Struthio camelus: one gene and its partner. The protein of the gene in region 2 purifies or fractionates together with the protein of the main gene of each other region. This does not show direct contact. Links are inferred from orthologs where the notes say so. Each region holds a gene or a part of one and is shown on either strand. Other genes may lie near its edges.

Region 1 (7,997 bases), on a different chromosome or scaffold from region 2:
GGATTCTGTTTGATAGCCAAAGTGCTGAAGTGAGCAGACCTGAAGAAAATAAGACAAGTTAAAAAAAACCACTGACTTTGCCTGTCCGCTTACTTAATGAACACTCATGCTCAAGTGAGCCAAACATATAGTCAACAAACGTGAAGTTACGGAGAGCAGTCTTAAAAGCGTAGCTTCTCTTAGCTTAAATTACCCTCTCCCTTCCATTTTAGATTCTACTGAACAAAGAACAACTCTAGTTTGCAACTAGTAGAGTCCTGCAAGCCTCTGGCTAAACCTGAGCTAAACGCAGTTTAAAAAAAGGTTACTGTAGAATGTCTGTTAAGCCTCTGCCAACATCTGACAGCTTTTCTCTAAGCAATATTTTACTGGATACTCTTCTCAAGAAATAGGATATAGCAAAGATACGTAGGTGTAAAATTCTGTCTCCCACTCACTTTTCCCCGTATCTGAATTATTACGGCTTTGTTTACAAGCCTACGTAAATTAAATCCCACTCACAAGTTACTTCCATTGCCAGCACACACAGAGTCACAGCTGAAACAGATAATACCGTTTGAAATGCTTGAGGAACAAAAAGCAAGCTCAGGAGCAGATAGAAAGAGAACAGGGAGACAACTCTCAGAGAACAAAACATTCAACTAATCACGCCACTTCACAGCAAACAATCATCTTGTCACAGTCTTGCAACTAAAAAAAAATTCCCCGCAAAACCCCACACTTCAGGTGGAATGAACGATCATTATTTTTTGCAAGTGCAGACGCCTCTGGTACATACAAGCATGGCTGATATTCTGATATCAAAGTAAAACATGAGTAACAACATCTGTTGTTTGTTGCAAGGCTAGCAATTCCAATTCGGATTTCTTTTGCCCTAGCAAAATTCAGAAAGAAAGAACATTTTCGGACCAATTCTTACTGCTGCCAAGAGGTTAGTCAGTATTTGTGTTCAACGATAAAACCGCAGTTGTAACAGAACTTTTGTCAGCTGTGCTCAATGTTACGAGAGGTGCAAACTACAAGTAAAGCTTGACAGGACACCTCAGGTCTCCTACCTGTCCAGTCTGCGACACTGGAAGTGAATGGACGACAGTAATAAAAGCACACCAGTATTATCAGGCTCTTGTCTCCAAAGTTGCATGCAGTGTCTCTCTGCTGCTTCAAAGTCTCCTGCCTGATATTCACGATGAGCCAACTCCGCTAACCCTTGGAAGGAAAGCATACGTTTCGTTGGTTCTGGAGAATCACCAAAACATTTAAGGGGGGAAAACAAAAAGTTAGATAATGGAAACAAAACAAAAAAATGTTTAAGCAAAAAAAAAAAGATGTGCAAAACTAAAGGATGAAAATGCTTGAAATTACATAAAGTACTACGGCATGTGACATTTAAAACTCTCAGATCTTCATACCTCAATCTATAGTTATGACACTTCTAACATGATGGGTATAATAGTCCATAACCTCATCAGTTAATAATAAGCGTATAAACACAGAGAGTCATTACAAGTCAATCATTTTCCAATAACCTGAAAAATATCTGACAACATTCCCAAAATAATATTGTACTTTGGTTCATAACACTAAAAGTGCTAGTAACAAAACAATGAATCTGTTGACTTTTCCCCAACTGTAAGTCTTATACTTCATAGTATTAAAGACAAGTTCTAAAAACCATTAATTGAGAAATGAAGAGGACAGCAGACAAAAACTTCAAAGGACTCAAAAAAAAAAAAAAGTTTTGCTGTAGCAGTAGATTTGTAGCACGTGAAAGCCCGTAACAAAAATGAATGAATAAATAAATAAATACAAGTGTAACACACAACATTTCTTCCAACCTCTGTTATCAGGCTGTATTATCTATAATGAGTAAAAATTCTCCCATCAAAATCAATTTTGGTCTCAGAACGATAGCTGTGATTTTTATGCTGTTGGCCCACAGAAGCAGTCTTTACAAAGCACAGGATACAGAAAAGGATTCGCTAATTCTGGGTGTCGAGCTGGAACTGGAGTGACAAAGTGCTTTTACTGTTAACAACATATTCACAGAGAACAAAAAACTTGAGTAAAATATCACCTGTTTTAGATTAACAACCTTTTTTGTGAAAAGTAAGTTGTCTTACAAAGTACAGTTCTATCCTAGAAGATAGATATGGTAAGCGCATCTTGGGGGAAAAAAAAAAACGTTCATCCTAAAAAGAAGGATCTGCCCTCAAATTGTCTTTTTATTTTATACTTACGATATAAAATTACTTATTAAAAGTATAAAAATATGTTTCAACTACTGCAAATGTCTCTTATTTGCCCTTCTTCAGTCCTGCAGTCACTTTTAAACTCGCTTATTAAACATTTCCCACCAAGACATAGAGTTTTACATTTTTGATACAACGAAGCACAGGTAAATCCTTCCTAATACAAGGAAATTTGCTAATGCAATAGAAAAATAATCACGAGGAGATTAGGCACAGAGTTATTATCTAGTGTTTAACGGACTTGAGATTGATGGAAGCCATTTAAGTTCTTTTAAAGAGAGCTTTTTAGCACTGCTGGGTTTTGAAGACCGCAAACACTACAGGAGGTAACTAAAGCTGTTATTCCAGATGCATTGTCTCTGTCGGTGTTGAAAACTTTAACCGGTTCTGGCTTCACTGAAACTAGCACGACTACTCACTTCCAAAGACGTCACAAAATACTAATCAAGTATCTTCACACAGATTAAGTCCTTTTTTCAAGGAGCCTAGCTTAAGACCTTTCCAAACCCAGCCTATGGAAAACGTGGACTTCTGCATCTGGTTAAACCTACTGACAGTAAACATGTACAAGCGTTATTTAACGTGAAAATGACAGCATCATTTACCAAAATTTGAAGTGGCTGACAAGTAAGAATACTGAAGTACAAACATGCTGTTCCTTGCCTACCTTCTGTTGTTAACAGTCACACAGGTTTAGCTCATCTGACAGCTGCTGTATTTTCAAGTTCTGCTGACAGTGCAAAAAGGGGGAAACTAGTGCATGCTCCGTGGACCTAATTCAATCATTTCTTCAAATAAACTCCAAGGGTATTATTAAATTCGAATGCTAACACAAAACAAATAAACAAAAAACCCCACAAAAACTTAGACTTAAATTCTTATCACCACTTGGAAGGAACCTTCTAACTTACCTACATACTATGCTTTGCCTATTTAAGCAAAACAGAAAACTGAAACTGAAGTTACAGTTGTAGGGGCAACAGAGAGAAAATGAAAAAAAAAAAAAAGAAAATTTCATAAAATTCATTTTAAAAATAGAAAATTTCATATAAAACCCATGAATAAAAATTGTTAATGAGAACAACAAAACGAGTGAAACACTAAGATTTCTTTCATCTATGAAGTCCCCTTACAAAACAAACCCTACCAACTGAGATAAAGCAAACTAGTCACTTGCAGTAAGACAGTCAGCCATCTCTCCCAAGACACATTTTAGCAGCAATCCTCTTCACAAGCAGGTAGGAAAGTGCAAGTGGACAACTACCGCAGGCTTCAAAACGAGCTCAACGTTTACTAGGGCTACTACAGAAGAGAATCACGTTATCCAAGGAATCCATAATACTGCCACTCACAGTTGCTCACAGAATCCATTTAAAAAAAAAACAACGCCAGTGAAAGAGTTATAGCCAAAAGAATCCCTTACCAAGTCTTATAAACATTCACCTGCTGTATTACATGAACTTGCGTACCTATGCCAGCATGTACTATGTGCCTTAATTACGACCTTGGAAAAGCATAGCATGTGCTACAACAATGACCTTTCCTGATACTTTTAGAGAACGCACACAAAACAAAAAGCCCGTGCAGAAATACCACAACCGTACACAAGACAAAAATTCTCCAGAAATAGCAAGCCAAGCACTTCATGTGCGCTCGCACCCAGCTTTGCATTTGGATAAAATCTAGGCGCAGACAGGAATAGTTGCCACCTCCACACGGGAGGTGGTGGTGGCAAGGAACAGGGAACGCTCCCCTCCCCATACACGTCCTTGTCACCTCCACAGCTCAAGGCCCCGAGAGGATGCTGCAGATCAGGGGAGGAGGTGAGTGGTTCTGGCTGAGGTGGAAGGCGTTATCAGCAATGCCGTACAGAAGCTAGTTGCCCTCTCTCCATCTCCACCTTTGTACCACTCCCGCTTCCCTTTGCGTCACTCCTACCAGTAGCGCGTCTCTTTCCCTGTATAACCTTGTTTCCCTACTTTTCCATCATCCTGTTTCACCTTTTCAGACCCTTCGTTGCTCTCTGGTAACAGAAGGCCCCAAAAAACTCTAGCGGAAAAAGCTGTGTTTTCTGTTCATCCTTCCGGGATGCAGGGCCTTCTCCTTGCCCTGAAGGCAGGAAGGGGGATTTTGTCCCTCCGCCCCCGCGTTCTAGATCTGTAAACTGAAGAGAGCACCTTTCTCAGCAAGAGCACGCTGTCCTTCTAGCCAGAAAAAGTTGCCCTGCTATGCTATTCCAGGAGCGACCTCCTGGTTAAATATAGCGAGAGAAATTCTGGAAAAATCAATTTACGTTTTAGGTCAGGCTTTCATCCTTTTGCGTCCTCTGTAAAAACCTAATTGCCAGATAAATATAGACATAAGAAACCACCCCCCCTCAGAACTAATCATCTCGGCCTCCTGGAGGAGCGTTTTCCTACGCAGCCGCCGGGCAGCCGCGGCACGGGCCGGCTCCCTGCGGCTGGCGGCAGAGCCGGGGCCTCGCGCCGCGACCGGGCCCGCCCGGCGGCGCCGCGAGCCGAACCGACACGCGAACAACGGCGGCGGGGGCCGCGCCGGGAGCCGCCGCCGCTTCTGGAAAGTTCCGCCGGGAGCGGGGAGCGCGGCGCTCGGGCTCCGGCTGGCCCCGCGGGCAAGGGCAGCGCCCGGCCCCCGCAGGGCGGCGGCGGCGGCGGGGCCCGGCCTGCCGGCGCGCCCCCGAGCCCGTCCCCGCGCGGCAGGCCGCAGTACCTGTGCTGTCAGCTACGTTCCCCACGGAGGTCGCCATCGCGAAGGGAGGCCGGCGGGGCTCGGGCGGAGGCAGCAGAACGGCCGCGGGCACGCAGGGGGCCGCTAGGCTGGGGCACGCGGAGCAGGACCGAGCTCCCCACGCTCCCGGCACGCTAAGGCGGCGGCTCCCGAAATGGCGCTGGCGGCAGCGGAGGCAGCACACAGCCGAATGGCCGCTGCCGGACCTATCTCCGCTCACGAAATAGTCCGGGCGGCGCGAGAGAGCGGCGCCGGGCGGGCCCCTGCGCGGCGGAGAAATCTCTGCCGGACCTGGATGCGTCTCCTTCCGCCACGCTCCGCCTTCGGCGGCTTCGGGCGAGGGGCGGCGACGGCTTTGTCAATGCGCGTATCCTTCCGCGCGAAGCCATTGCGACAAACGGGGAGGAACTGCGCCTGCGCGCCCGCCCTCCCCTCGCGCCGCTCTGCCCGCACATGGAGTCCGCGGGCACATCCGGGTGCCGGCGGCGCGCGGGGCCTGCCGGGACAGCCCGGGGCCGCCGGGGGCGGGGGAGGGGAGGGGAGGGGAGCGGCCGGACTCCGCCCGGAAAGCGCCGCTGGGAGGTAGCCCGAGAGCGGGGGGGGACCTCGGGGACGCACGAGCACAGCAGGAGCCCATCTTCAAACCATCCTGAGTTTTATTTACAATTAATTTAACCAGTAAGTACAGTACCAAAGTCTGTGCTTTCTTCTCACTTGACTAAACATAAGGAATCTCACACCCAGGATACAAGCAGCCTGAAAATTCCTGAAGACTCCAACTAGCAAATTTTGTTTTCTGTGGCCAATCGCAGCTTAAAAAAAAAAAAAAAACCAATAGGGCAGCTGTTCACTGACACATTCAAGGTAGACAGTAGTCAGGAGAGAATGCATTCATACTCTGTTCCCAGGTAACTGTCATTTCATAAAGGGAAAGTTCTTATTTTACAATTGTTTTGATATCAAAACAACTGCAGACATTGTACTCTGAGCAACCATCTCTCCCTGGCAGAAATGCATGAATCCAACAAGCTACTATTTTTGAGAAATTACATCTATAAAGAAGGAAGAACAAACCATTAAAGGTCTTCAGCTGGATTCTAGAACTAGTGAAGATCACACCAGCCCAGTACTTCAGCTGGGCATGTTTCTCTAAAGCTTATTTTTCACTATTTACTCAGTCACGTAACAAGTTTTAGAACAATAAAAACTACTATTAAAAAAAAAAAAGCTGTTTCGTATTAACACAGACTGCACCATGTTGTTTCTTATACCCAGCTGGGATGTTAGTAGTTCATGAGCCAAGAGTAGCCCAAGATGACTGCCGTCTCAGGGAAAGGGAGCTTCCCGAGAAGTTTATTCATCTGAGTCCAAGTCACTGTCTCCTGCAATGGAATGAAAATCCTCACTGTCTTCCTCGTCCTCAGACAGATGGACCTGACTTAGTACGCTCGGCCCACAACGCTGCTCTTCCTCCTCTTCCTCCTCTTCTGAGATTTCATACCCTCCAATACTGCTGAAACTAGTATCTCTTGTGTTGGATTTTGGGTCTGGTTCTTCATAGCTGCCATAGCTGGAAGAAAGAATATACTCTTCTTATACTACTATTTCAAATCAGTTGTTGGCATCAGATATTCTGTCTGTAACATTTTTACTCCTGTAAAATGTCCCTGAGTGGAAGTGCTGTGAAACACTTTGAAACATTGTGCAATTCAATTTGATCAGTGACCAGTTTTGTTAACTAAGAAACAGCTCTCCCGATGAAATAGTTATCTATCAACATCCTCAACCCAATCTGAAATACTCAGGGCAAAAAAAAAAAAAAATCGGAGTTCTCTACTTGTTCCAGCACCTTCCATCTGTCACCTTTACTGGAGATGGGAAAGGCAGACAGCACAGCAATTCCAACGAGAGCACAGCCCATTCTCATCCGCTTCTCTAGCATCTACTATTGGCTATTGCCAAGGTACTGGGCTGGATGGACCATTTGCCTAATCCAGCGTAACTACTCTTATGGGCAGGTCTTATCTCTATTATGACAGCTGGCCTGTAAAATAATTTATTAGGCAAATACCAATAACAACATTATGGAAGTGAGTTCTTTCAATTAAAAAAAAAAAAAAAAAGAACAGAGAATCTAATGCTAACTCTCTACAGAATGGCCGGAGAAGGAAAAGTAGATCAGTATTTTCTCAAATCAGTGCAGAAAATAAAGCTACTATTGCTGTACTTGCCATTTTCTAATAATGGAACTCATTCCAAGATACACAATATACATATTCCTATTCTTTGCTGTTCTTTTGGACTTCAAGCAAGCAATTTTCTTCCAAGGAAGGAAATTATTACTCTCAAAGAAAAACAGCTTGACGTTAATCAGCTATATTATCTTTTAGCTTCAAAGGCACTTACTAATTTCTGAGACCATCTAAAACAAGGTTCATTTTCCTTGCCTTCAAAAAATACTATGCACAGTAAGTTATTTAACTTGCAAGAAAAAGTGATTCTTAATTTTATTATTTTAACAAATATTTTTCATTAGCGATGGTCTAAAAGCAAAACCAAATTCCTGTCAACAAGAACTTCAAAAGTAAGTTGCAATTACAGGTGCAACACTAAAACCAGTAACAGAGTAACTTAACAAGAACATGAGACATTCTCCAGCTCTTTGTCATAAACACTTCAGAAATCTCTAACAGAAGGGACTTTGTTCTGAAGAAAGAAATATTTTAACAACATTCTTTGCTCTAATTACCTGATATTACTGTCCTCCATGACATGAGATGTCTCCCCACCATCTCCTTCATAAGACATCATACTTTCTTCATTGTCCATGCCCATTCGTGTATTCTCTTGAAGAACATGAGGTTGTTTGGGTCTCACTGCACTGGACTCCACATCTGAATCGCTGCCGCTCTCACTCAGTTGGATAGCTGTGCAATAAGCCAACACTTGTTCATAAATCAACAGTTTTGTTCTCTCAGTGACATACATACTGTCTTTATT
Region 2 (7,997 bases):
ACAAGAGCTGCCACAAGAAGCAGCACAGCAATTTACAGTATAACGACAGCATTGATACTCAATGGACAGCTGTGTCTTCAAGGAATTCATTGCAACATGTTCATATTTATTTGCTTACCCAAATGCGCTCTCTCACTAAAATTCTTCACCCTCCACAGCCAAAAAAAAAAAAAAGTCAGTTTAACTCAACAGAAAATCAGCACAAAAAAGAAAAAAAGGTGCCAGTATCTTGATCTCATCAACAGGTAGCATGAAATTTTGCTTTTTCAGTTTTAGGATATCCTGGCCAAAGAGCATTTATAAAGAGACAGACTCCTGCGACAGCTCTCAGTCCGTATTCACTCAACTCCTAAGCCTCAATGTTTTGAAGCTGCACAGCAGAAAAATATTTTGTCAAGTCACACTTGGGGACTTCCCACGAAAAAACAAATACCAAATTTCTTCAAACTTGGCACATGACAGTGTATGCTTTCTCCACACACGAAGCACAAGGACGGCTTGTCTGTGGCTTACGTCCAGCAACAGCATTTCTTGCCCTGATTTAAGCAGGCCGCTAACACCATGGCAGCCTGCAAGTTACAGGGCGCTGCCACGTATCAGAGCAGAAAGGTGCGCAGGGCGCTCTGCTGTTCTACTGATCCTTTCCCGCTTTAGGGGGCTGGATCACGAGGACCGTACCGAACAGAAGCAAGAGGAAGATCAACTCAAATACCTCAGGAACCAAAAAGAAAGCGCAGAACTTCTCTGCTGCATAGCGCAAGCCTTGTTACCACGTCCATGAGCGCAGACATAACATTACGTACCAGCCCCCTTCAACCACAAGCACTGTGAACATCAGTTCACATATGATAACGATGCATATCCAAAGCAAGTACTACTGCATTTGTTCTCATGTCCGAACCAGCTGTGACAAACATCGGTTACAGACGTCTTAGAACCGCTGGAGCCGCACAGCCACAGCTACACCAGCTAGCTAAACGCTGCCAGGGCACAGCGCGGGCGCTATCTCAGCCATCCACACCGCTAAGGTCCCTGCCACAGACTTAGCTGTGAGGTTACGAGCTGAGCCCAGACAGAGTTCCCAGTACAGTCCAAAAATTAGCACAGGCCTGTGCTAACGAATGCAGGCATTGTATTATGAACGCTAGAAATTTAACGGTATGGACATACATAAACTCCGCAAGGTCGTCTCAGGGCAAGAAAACAAGCCCTGAAGCTGTTAAGTTTACCAATATAGACATAATTTATGTATTCTAAGTCTTCAGCAGAACATATAGTTCAATACAGAGCTGAGCATAGAACCAAGTTAATGTTGCTATACCATCTCTCTTCTCTAGACACACTGTCCCATTGGTGTCTTCCTACAGTTTGGTTGCTGTTTCTGAAGAGCGTAGCCCAGTGCATTTCTCAAACTTGTTTACTATATAGTACCAGCTTCTTACCTTCATGAAGCGTTTTATTTTAACTGCAAGGATACCCAGCCATTGTCCCAAGAAAAGCCACAAGTTAATAGTGATCTGCAGCTGCGCATTTGCTGAATGAGCCAGGAAATAAGAAAAAAAAAAGGTTGTTTATCAACAGCAACTTCCTCCCTGAATGTACTGCCCTCACAAGGCTCTCTTTCCGTATTTTACGCTATAATTCTGCTCCAACTTATATTCCTAGACATACAAGAACAAGAATAGCTTGAGTCCTACTGAATCAGTCTTATCCATCTACCTACCATCTATCCTAGGTCTTTTTTTTTTTTTTTTTTAAAAGAAACAGAAAGACCATTTTTCTGTTGGTTAACATCCGATTTCAGACTAACACTGCATTTTCACAACAGTTGATTTCAAGGTGATACTATCTTGACAATTCCCCACAATCCCCCATGTTCCCACCACCTCTCTTGCACTGGCAAATACCTGATTCCAGATAACTGATTATGAAGACCAAGCTGGCATAAAGCCAATCCAGAACCATAGCAATAGTTTTCTGCTGTTTTAGCTCCCTGAACCACCTACAAGCACCAGCGGTGATGCAAAAGACACAGCAAGGAGGCGGACGTGGGAGAGAACCACCACAGAAACATCAACTTTGATGACCCTGAGCTGCTGTTCAGTAACCACTATGGTGCAGCATGACAGGATAGCTAGTTTTATGGTTTGCCAGCAGCAAAAAATGCGACCCCCAAGCCCCTAGCCCTCCAGCTGCCATGATTACTTTTGACTATCAGGGCTCACTCCACTCCATAGTGAGCTAGCACAGAGCACTAAACTAGCAAAGAAGTAACTTCACAAAAAAGTGCAGAGATGCAACACTCCACCGAATACAACCGGAAGACTTTCCAAGTTTGAGACAAGTTTTACCGTTCATGAGGAATGCCTGAGAGTTGCCACACTTCTTAATGCAGTTTATAACATACCCTATGAACTTCAAGCACTGGTAGCTGAAATGGCAATACGATTCTTGTCCTAGTTTGTGTACTCAAAAGACAGTATTTCCAAAAAAAACACAGGGGAACTTTTTGAAGACAGAACAGAACTGGAGTTTGACTAAAACATTTTAACATTCCCACTGAAGATACAAATAGCAGTATTTGCCAAAACAGAGGGTTTTGGCAAGCATTCAGTCATCTTCTCCTAGTTTTTGGCTACCCTTGCCATGAAGCTACCTAAGATACCATAAAACCTTCAGCTTTGATACTTTTCATTGCAGCATTTCTAAATATCTATTTTAGCACTGAAGGGGATTTTAAAACAGATCAGTGGATACAGTATGAACAGCGATGCACATAGGCAGATAAAATGATCTGGTCACACAGACACCCTATACATGAAATTCTTCTATTCTACTTTGGAAATAAGTTTTAGAAGATACACAAAAAAGATACACAAAGAAACCAAAATGTCCACTTGGGGGATGCATCCTATATTCTTAAAACAGTTAACTGCACCATATCCTTAGATGAAGAGCAACTATTTTGATGCCTTTCAAACTGTAAATACCAGGCCCAAACAAATTACTATTCACAAATAAAGTTAGCGCTTGCAAGTCTCAACCGCAGATGCCTATTTACATTTGCTTTCTAGCCAGACTTTTCAAGTCCTGTTTTAACAGACACCTCTTCCAGAATGCTTATGATATAACCATAACTCCTCCTCCTCCTATTAAGGAGATTTGAATCTTCACTAGAAATGCAGATATTTTACAAGCACATGGTGTACTTTCACAATTCAACACTTCTGTTCCACTCCTCCTGCAGCAGCACGCACTTGTTCATTTTTCTCTCTCTCCAGGCTTCTCCTACTACTAAAGTTCCCTTTTCGTTTATCCATTCTCAAACATGCATGCCCCAGGTAGAAAATACAAGTAAAGTCTGTCTTGAAAGTGGTATAGTAACAAAGACTACTAGACTTGGGAATCAGAAGATAAAAAAAATCCTCCTTCTAGGGTGAATCACTGTATGACATGAGGCAATTCACTTGCCCCTACTGCAACAAGTTCTCCTGTATGAAAGACACTAGTATACTGAGAATACTGAAAATCATAGTACATATCACTTGTTTTGTAATATTATTTAAAAATCTTACCGTTCACAGCATTTTGTAAACATGAAGAAGCAATTCCTCCCTTAAGAGTTCCCTACCTAAATTTGTGTCTAGAAACACTAAGCAACTGGAAAACAGGTCAAAATTTTAAAAAGCCCCATCCAAACGCAAAGCATTAGGACAAAGTTGCAGGCAGAGACAGACTAACAGTCCGCGCAGACTCTGCAGTGTTGCGTTTCTATTTGAAAAGCTTCATATTTTACCAGGCTGTCTTTTCAGACCCACCTGCTGCCAGACACTGAGGCTCTATTGACCTTTCTGCTGAAATCGGGGCTGCCCACGGCAGGTGATGCAGGGCTTCAAGGCGGACTAGGAACAGAGCCTGACCCATGGCAAAGCCACTGGCATTGAAGCTGATGCCTGCGCATGAGCAAGACTTGACAGCTTTGGAAAGGAAAATGAGCATTCCTAGGTCGTCCTGTAAGGGCTGTGGTTTGCTATAACATACTAATTTAAAAGTCGGCTCAAAAACGCGTCCCAGCTCAGACCGCGGCAGGTCCGGCCCGCGCCTCCCCGCTGAGCCCCCAGCGTGCCAAGGCCCCCGCAGGAGGCGGCCTCGCACCCCGCCGGCCCCCCAGCCCCAACCGGGGACGCCGGGCACCGTCAGGACCGCCTGGGCGGCTCTTTACCCTCGGGGACCGGCCGCCACGGCGGCAGGGAGCGACAGGAGCGGCCGCCCCCCGGAGGAGGGAGCCCGCATGACCCGGAGCAGCCGGGAGGCCTCTGACCCGCCCCAGCGGCCTCCAGGCCCCGCCGGACACCCCCCCCCCCCCCCCTCCTCCTCCTCCCCGCTCCCGCCTGCCTCGGCCTCCGCCGCCTCCCGCCGCGCTCGGCCTCCACGTACCGTCCGGGCGGCCTCTGCCCAGGTCCTGCCCTTCTTCCTGCGGCCCTTCTCCCTCATGTCGGACGCGGCGGGGCGTAGCTGGCTCCGAGGTTCCCGGGCGCTCCTCCCGCTCGCAGCGGGGAGGCAGGAGGGGGAGGCGGGGGGTGCCGGGAAGAGGAGGGCGGCGGAGGAGGAGGGCGGGCGGGCGGGCGGGCGAGCGGCCCTAAGTCCGAGCGCTCCCAGCGCCGACTCCCCCCGCGGCCGCCGCCGCTGCCATATTGGGATCCTACTGTAAAGGGCCGCGGTCATGTGACCGCCCACCCGCGTGACTCCTCCTACTGTACGGGCCGCCGGGAGAGGCGGGGCCGGCCGCCGGCGAGCCCCGCCCTCTCTCCCGCGCCTGCGCTCTCGCCCCGCCGCCGCTGCCAAAGGGCGCTGCCCGCCCCCCGCCCCGGGGCGGCCGCCGGCGCGCACGCGCACGGGGCCCGGCCCCGCCCCACCCCTCCGCCAGGCGCGCAGGCGCCTTCGAGGCGATCGCTTGCGTGAGGGGGCCGCGCCGCGCGTGACAGGCGGTCCGCTCGCCGCCGGCTCCGCTCCTCTCCCGGTCACCAGCGAGCGCAGCGCCCTTCCCCTCGCTGCCAGCGACCCCCGGCTCCGCTTCCCCTACAGCCGCCGGCGTCCCGCAGCTCCGCTTCCGCCGCCAACCGCCGCCAGCGACCGCCGGCTCCCCTCCCCCACAGCCGCCAACGACCGCCGGCTCCCCTCCCCCACAGCCGCCAACCGCCGCCAGCGACCGCCGGCTCCCCTCCCCCACAGCCGCCAGCGACCGCCGGCTCCCCTCCCCCACAGCCGCCAACCGCCGCCAGCGACCGCCGGCTCCCCTCCCCCACAGCCGCCAGCGACCGCCGGCTCCCCTCCCCCACAGCCGCCAACCGCCGCCAATGACCGCCGGCTCCCCTCCCCCACAGCCGCCAACCGCCGCCAACGACCCCCTCAACTCCCCTTCCCACAGCCGCCAGCGACCGCCGGCTCCCCTCCCCCACAACCGCCAACCGCCGCCAACGACCCCCCCCAACTCCCCCTCCCACAGCCGCCAACCGCCGCCAGCGACCGCCGGCTCTCCTCCCCCACAGCCACCAACTGCCGCCAACGACCCTCTCAACTCCCCCCTCCACTGCCGCCAACAACCTCTCAACCCCTCGCCCGCAGCCGTCAACGATCCCTTCACCCCCCCCCCCGCACAGCCACCCACCTACACCAACGACACCCCCCCCCAACAGGCACCAACTGCCGCCAACGACCCCCGGCTCCCCTCCCCCACAGCCACCAAGTGCCATCAGTTTCCCTCCCCCGCAGCTGCCAACTGCCATCAGCTACAGTCAGGGACCCCCACCCCACACCCACCCGTGGTCCCCACAGTCCTCTGCCGGCACCCTCAAGCCCCTGCTCCCCTGTGCTTGCCCTTAGCAGCTGTCACACAGTGCCCACCAGGTCCCCCCCACACACCCTGTCACAACCTCTACCCTCTTCTCTCTCCCCACAGCCACCAACGGCCACCAAGTGGCAACCGGCTCCCTTCCTCCTGCCAACCACTGCCCCACGCCCACCTTCACCCTCCTCCCTAGAGTCACCAAGTGCCAACACTGAGACCATCCCTTCTTCCAACGGTTACCAGCCGGCAGCCGGCTGCCACCCGCTACCTTCTCTCCTCCTCATGGCCACCAAATGCCGATAAGGGCCATCCACCACCCTCCATTGCCACTCACTGACCACTCAGTCCCTCTTCCTTTGTGCCCCTGGCCATCGCCTGACGACTGGCCACACTCTCCCCACAGCTGCTGCCACGGGGCTATGGCCAGCTCTCCCTAAGCGCTGCCAGCCATGTCCTGACTCGCCTGTTTCCCTTCTAGCTGCTGCCCAGGGCCACCTTCTCTCCTCCCCACCAGTTGATGCTAATGACCAGCCGGCACTTTATCACTGGTTTTCCTTCTCTGTTGCACACTGCTGCTCATTTCCCTCCCCCCCCTGCTGCTGCTAACCACTACCTGACCATACACTTCCTTTCCCTCCAGAGCTACCAAGCGTCTCCCAACAGCTAACCACGTGCCTCCCACTCAGTGCAGGCAGCCACCACTTAATTACCATCACTGTTCCTTTCCCCAGTGCCACTAACTACAGTCTAAACAACTTTCCCCGTGCTCTGTTATCAACCTCCCCCCACACCCCTCCACTCACGTGGCAATTAACCAGCATCTGAGGTACCATCTAACTCTCACTGTGAACTCTACCAACAGCAACAGCCCACACACTTCCATTCACGTGGCTACTACTTTTCCTGCTATCTGCCACTGAGTAGTAAGTAGTTCCCTTTGCTCCCTCCCGCAGCTTCCCACAGCTGTAATGCAGCTAGCTGCCTTCCCAACTAACCTCCTACCACACTAGCACTGCTATTACCTACTCCATCCACATACTGCCACGAGAGACTGTCACAAATGTTGCTCCTTCCCCTCCTTCACCACTGCTCCATATGCTAGCTATTCTCTTTTCAGCACAGCTGTTTCCCCATCCCACCTCTTCCTCCAATGTGGCAATTCACTACCATCTTCTCCCAACCCATACAAGGCCATTTCTACCCTCAGAAGTCACAGGGGCTCCAAGGTGACGCTCCCAGCCCACACTGACTTCTGATTTTATCTCTGCCTTCTTTCCTATTACAGAAGATATCACTCAAACCACTCTCTTTCTTATAGGACCGGACAGAAAAACTAATTATCATGCTATCCGAAAGCCAGCCTTTGTTAACATATATGCAAAGTACTTACCTCTGTGCAGCATCTCAAATGGTTGTTCTTTCAGTATCATGGTTTCATAGAGAAATGAGCAGCTTCTTGCAATATGCAGCATCATATGTTCCTGTTTCTATGAGAAGAGAATGTGGAAAATTGTAGTATATGTCTGTGTGAGAAAGCCTCCGTCAGCATGCCAGAAATAAAAGAAAGTTAAGGCCCATATTCTCAAAGGTATTTGGATATGTAACATTCATAACACCCTAAGAAGTTTTAAGCTTATATAAAAAGGTTATACAATGAAACCAAAGCAGCGTAACAGGTATAAATGTGCAGGCATAAATGATCATATAAAACGATGAATTAAGGGTCAGCTAAAGTGAGTAAGTTTGGATTATAAACCAGAACAGTCTTTGAAGAAAGTCACTGATCAGAGAGGCTGTGAAAGAGGTAAGCAAATCCAGGATCTAGGACTAACCACCATTTTTTTCCCCTAAGCAACTCTCAAGCTGACTCCTAGAATTACAGCTTGCTTATTTTTCTAAAGCGTAATGTGGTATATGCTCCAAACTGTGATCTTAGAGTGGCCCTCAGGATTTATTTTATGCGTCATGAAGTCATAGAAGCATTGGCTGGAAGAGACTTCTGGAGGTCTGTAGTTCAGTCTCACTTAAAGCAGGACTATCCCAGCATTGTGGCTTTGTCTGGCCCAATCTTGAAATCGTCCAAGCATGGAGATTCCACCATGGAATCTCTGCGTAACCCAGGCTGGTGCTGAACTACCTCTTCTAGTGG

The links.
Region 1: the proteins of ASXL2 (region 2) and OGT purify together in Homo sapiens (affinity purification with mass spectrometry; 3 studies listed by BioGRID and IntAct, with this or other methods). This does not show direct contact. The link is inferred for Struthio camelus from reciprocal best matches to the Homo sapiens genes ASXL2 and OGT.

The regions. Positions count from the first base shown.
Region 1 is NC_090952.1:25,820,865-25,828,861, reverse strand, and holds the start of OGT (UDP-N-acetylglucosamine--peptide N-acetylglucosaminyltransferase 110 kDa subunit), read right to left. Parts: upstream 5,307-7,997; 5' UTR 5,017-5,306; coding exon 4,980-5,016; intron 1,237-4,979; coding exon 1,056-1,236; intron 40-1,055; coding exon 1-39. Other genes in the region: TAF1 (transcription initiation factor TFIID subunit 1), read right to left, coding at 6,351-6,567, 7,747-7,924. UniProt on the Homo sapiens protein: Catalyzes the transfer of a single N-acetylglucosamine from UDP-GlcNAc to a serine or threonine residue in cytoplasmic and nuclear proteins resulting in their modification with a beta-linked N-acetylglucosamine (O-GlcNAc).
Region 2 is NC_090944.1:1,666,942-1,674,938, forward strand, and holds the start of ASXL2 (putative Polycomb group protein ASXL2), read right to left. Parts: upstream 4,700-7,997; 5' UTR 4,495-4,699; coding exon 4,438-4,494; intron 1-4,437.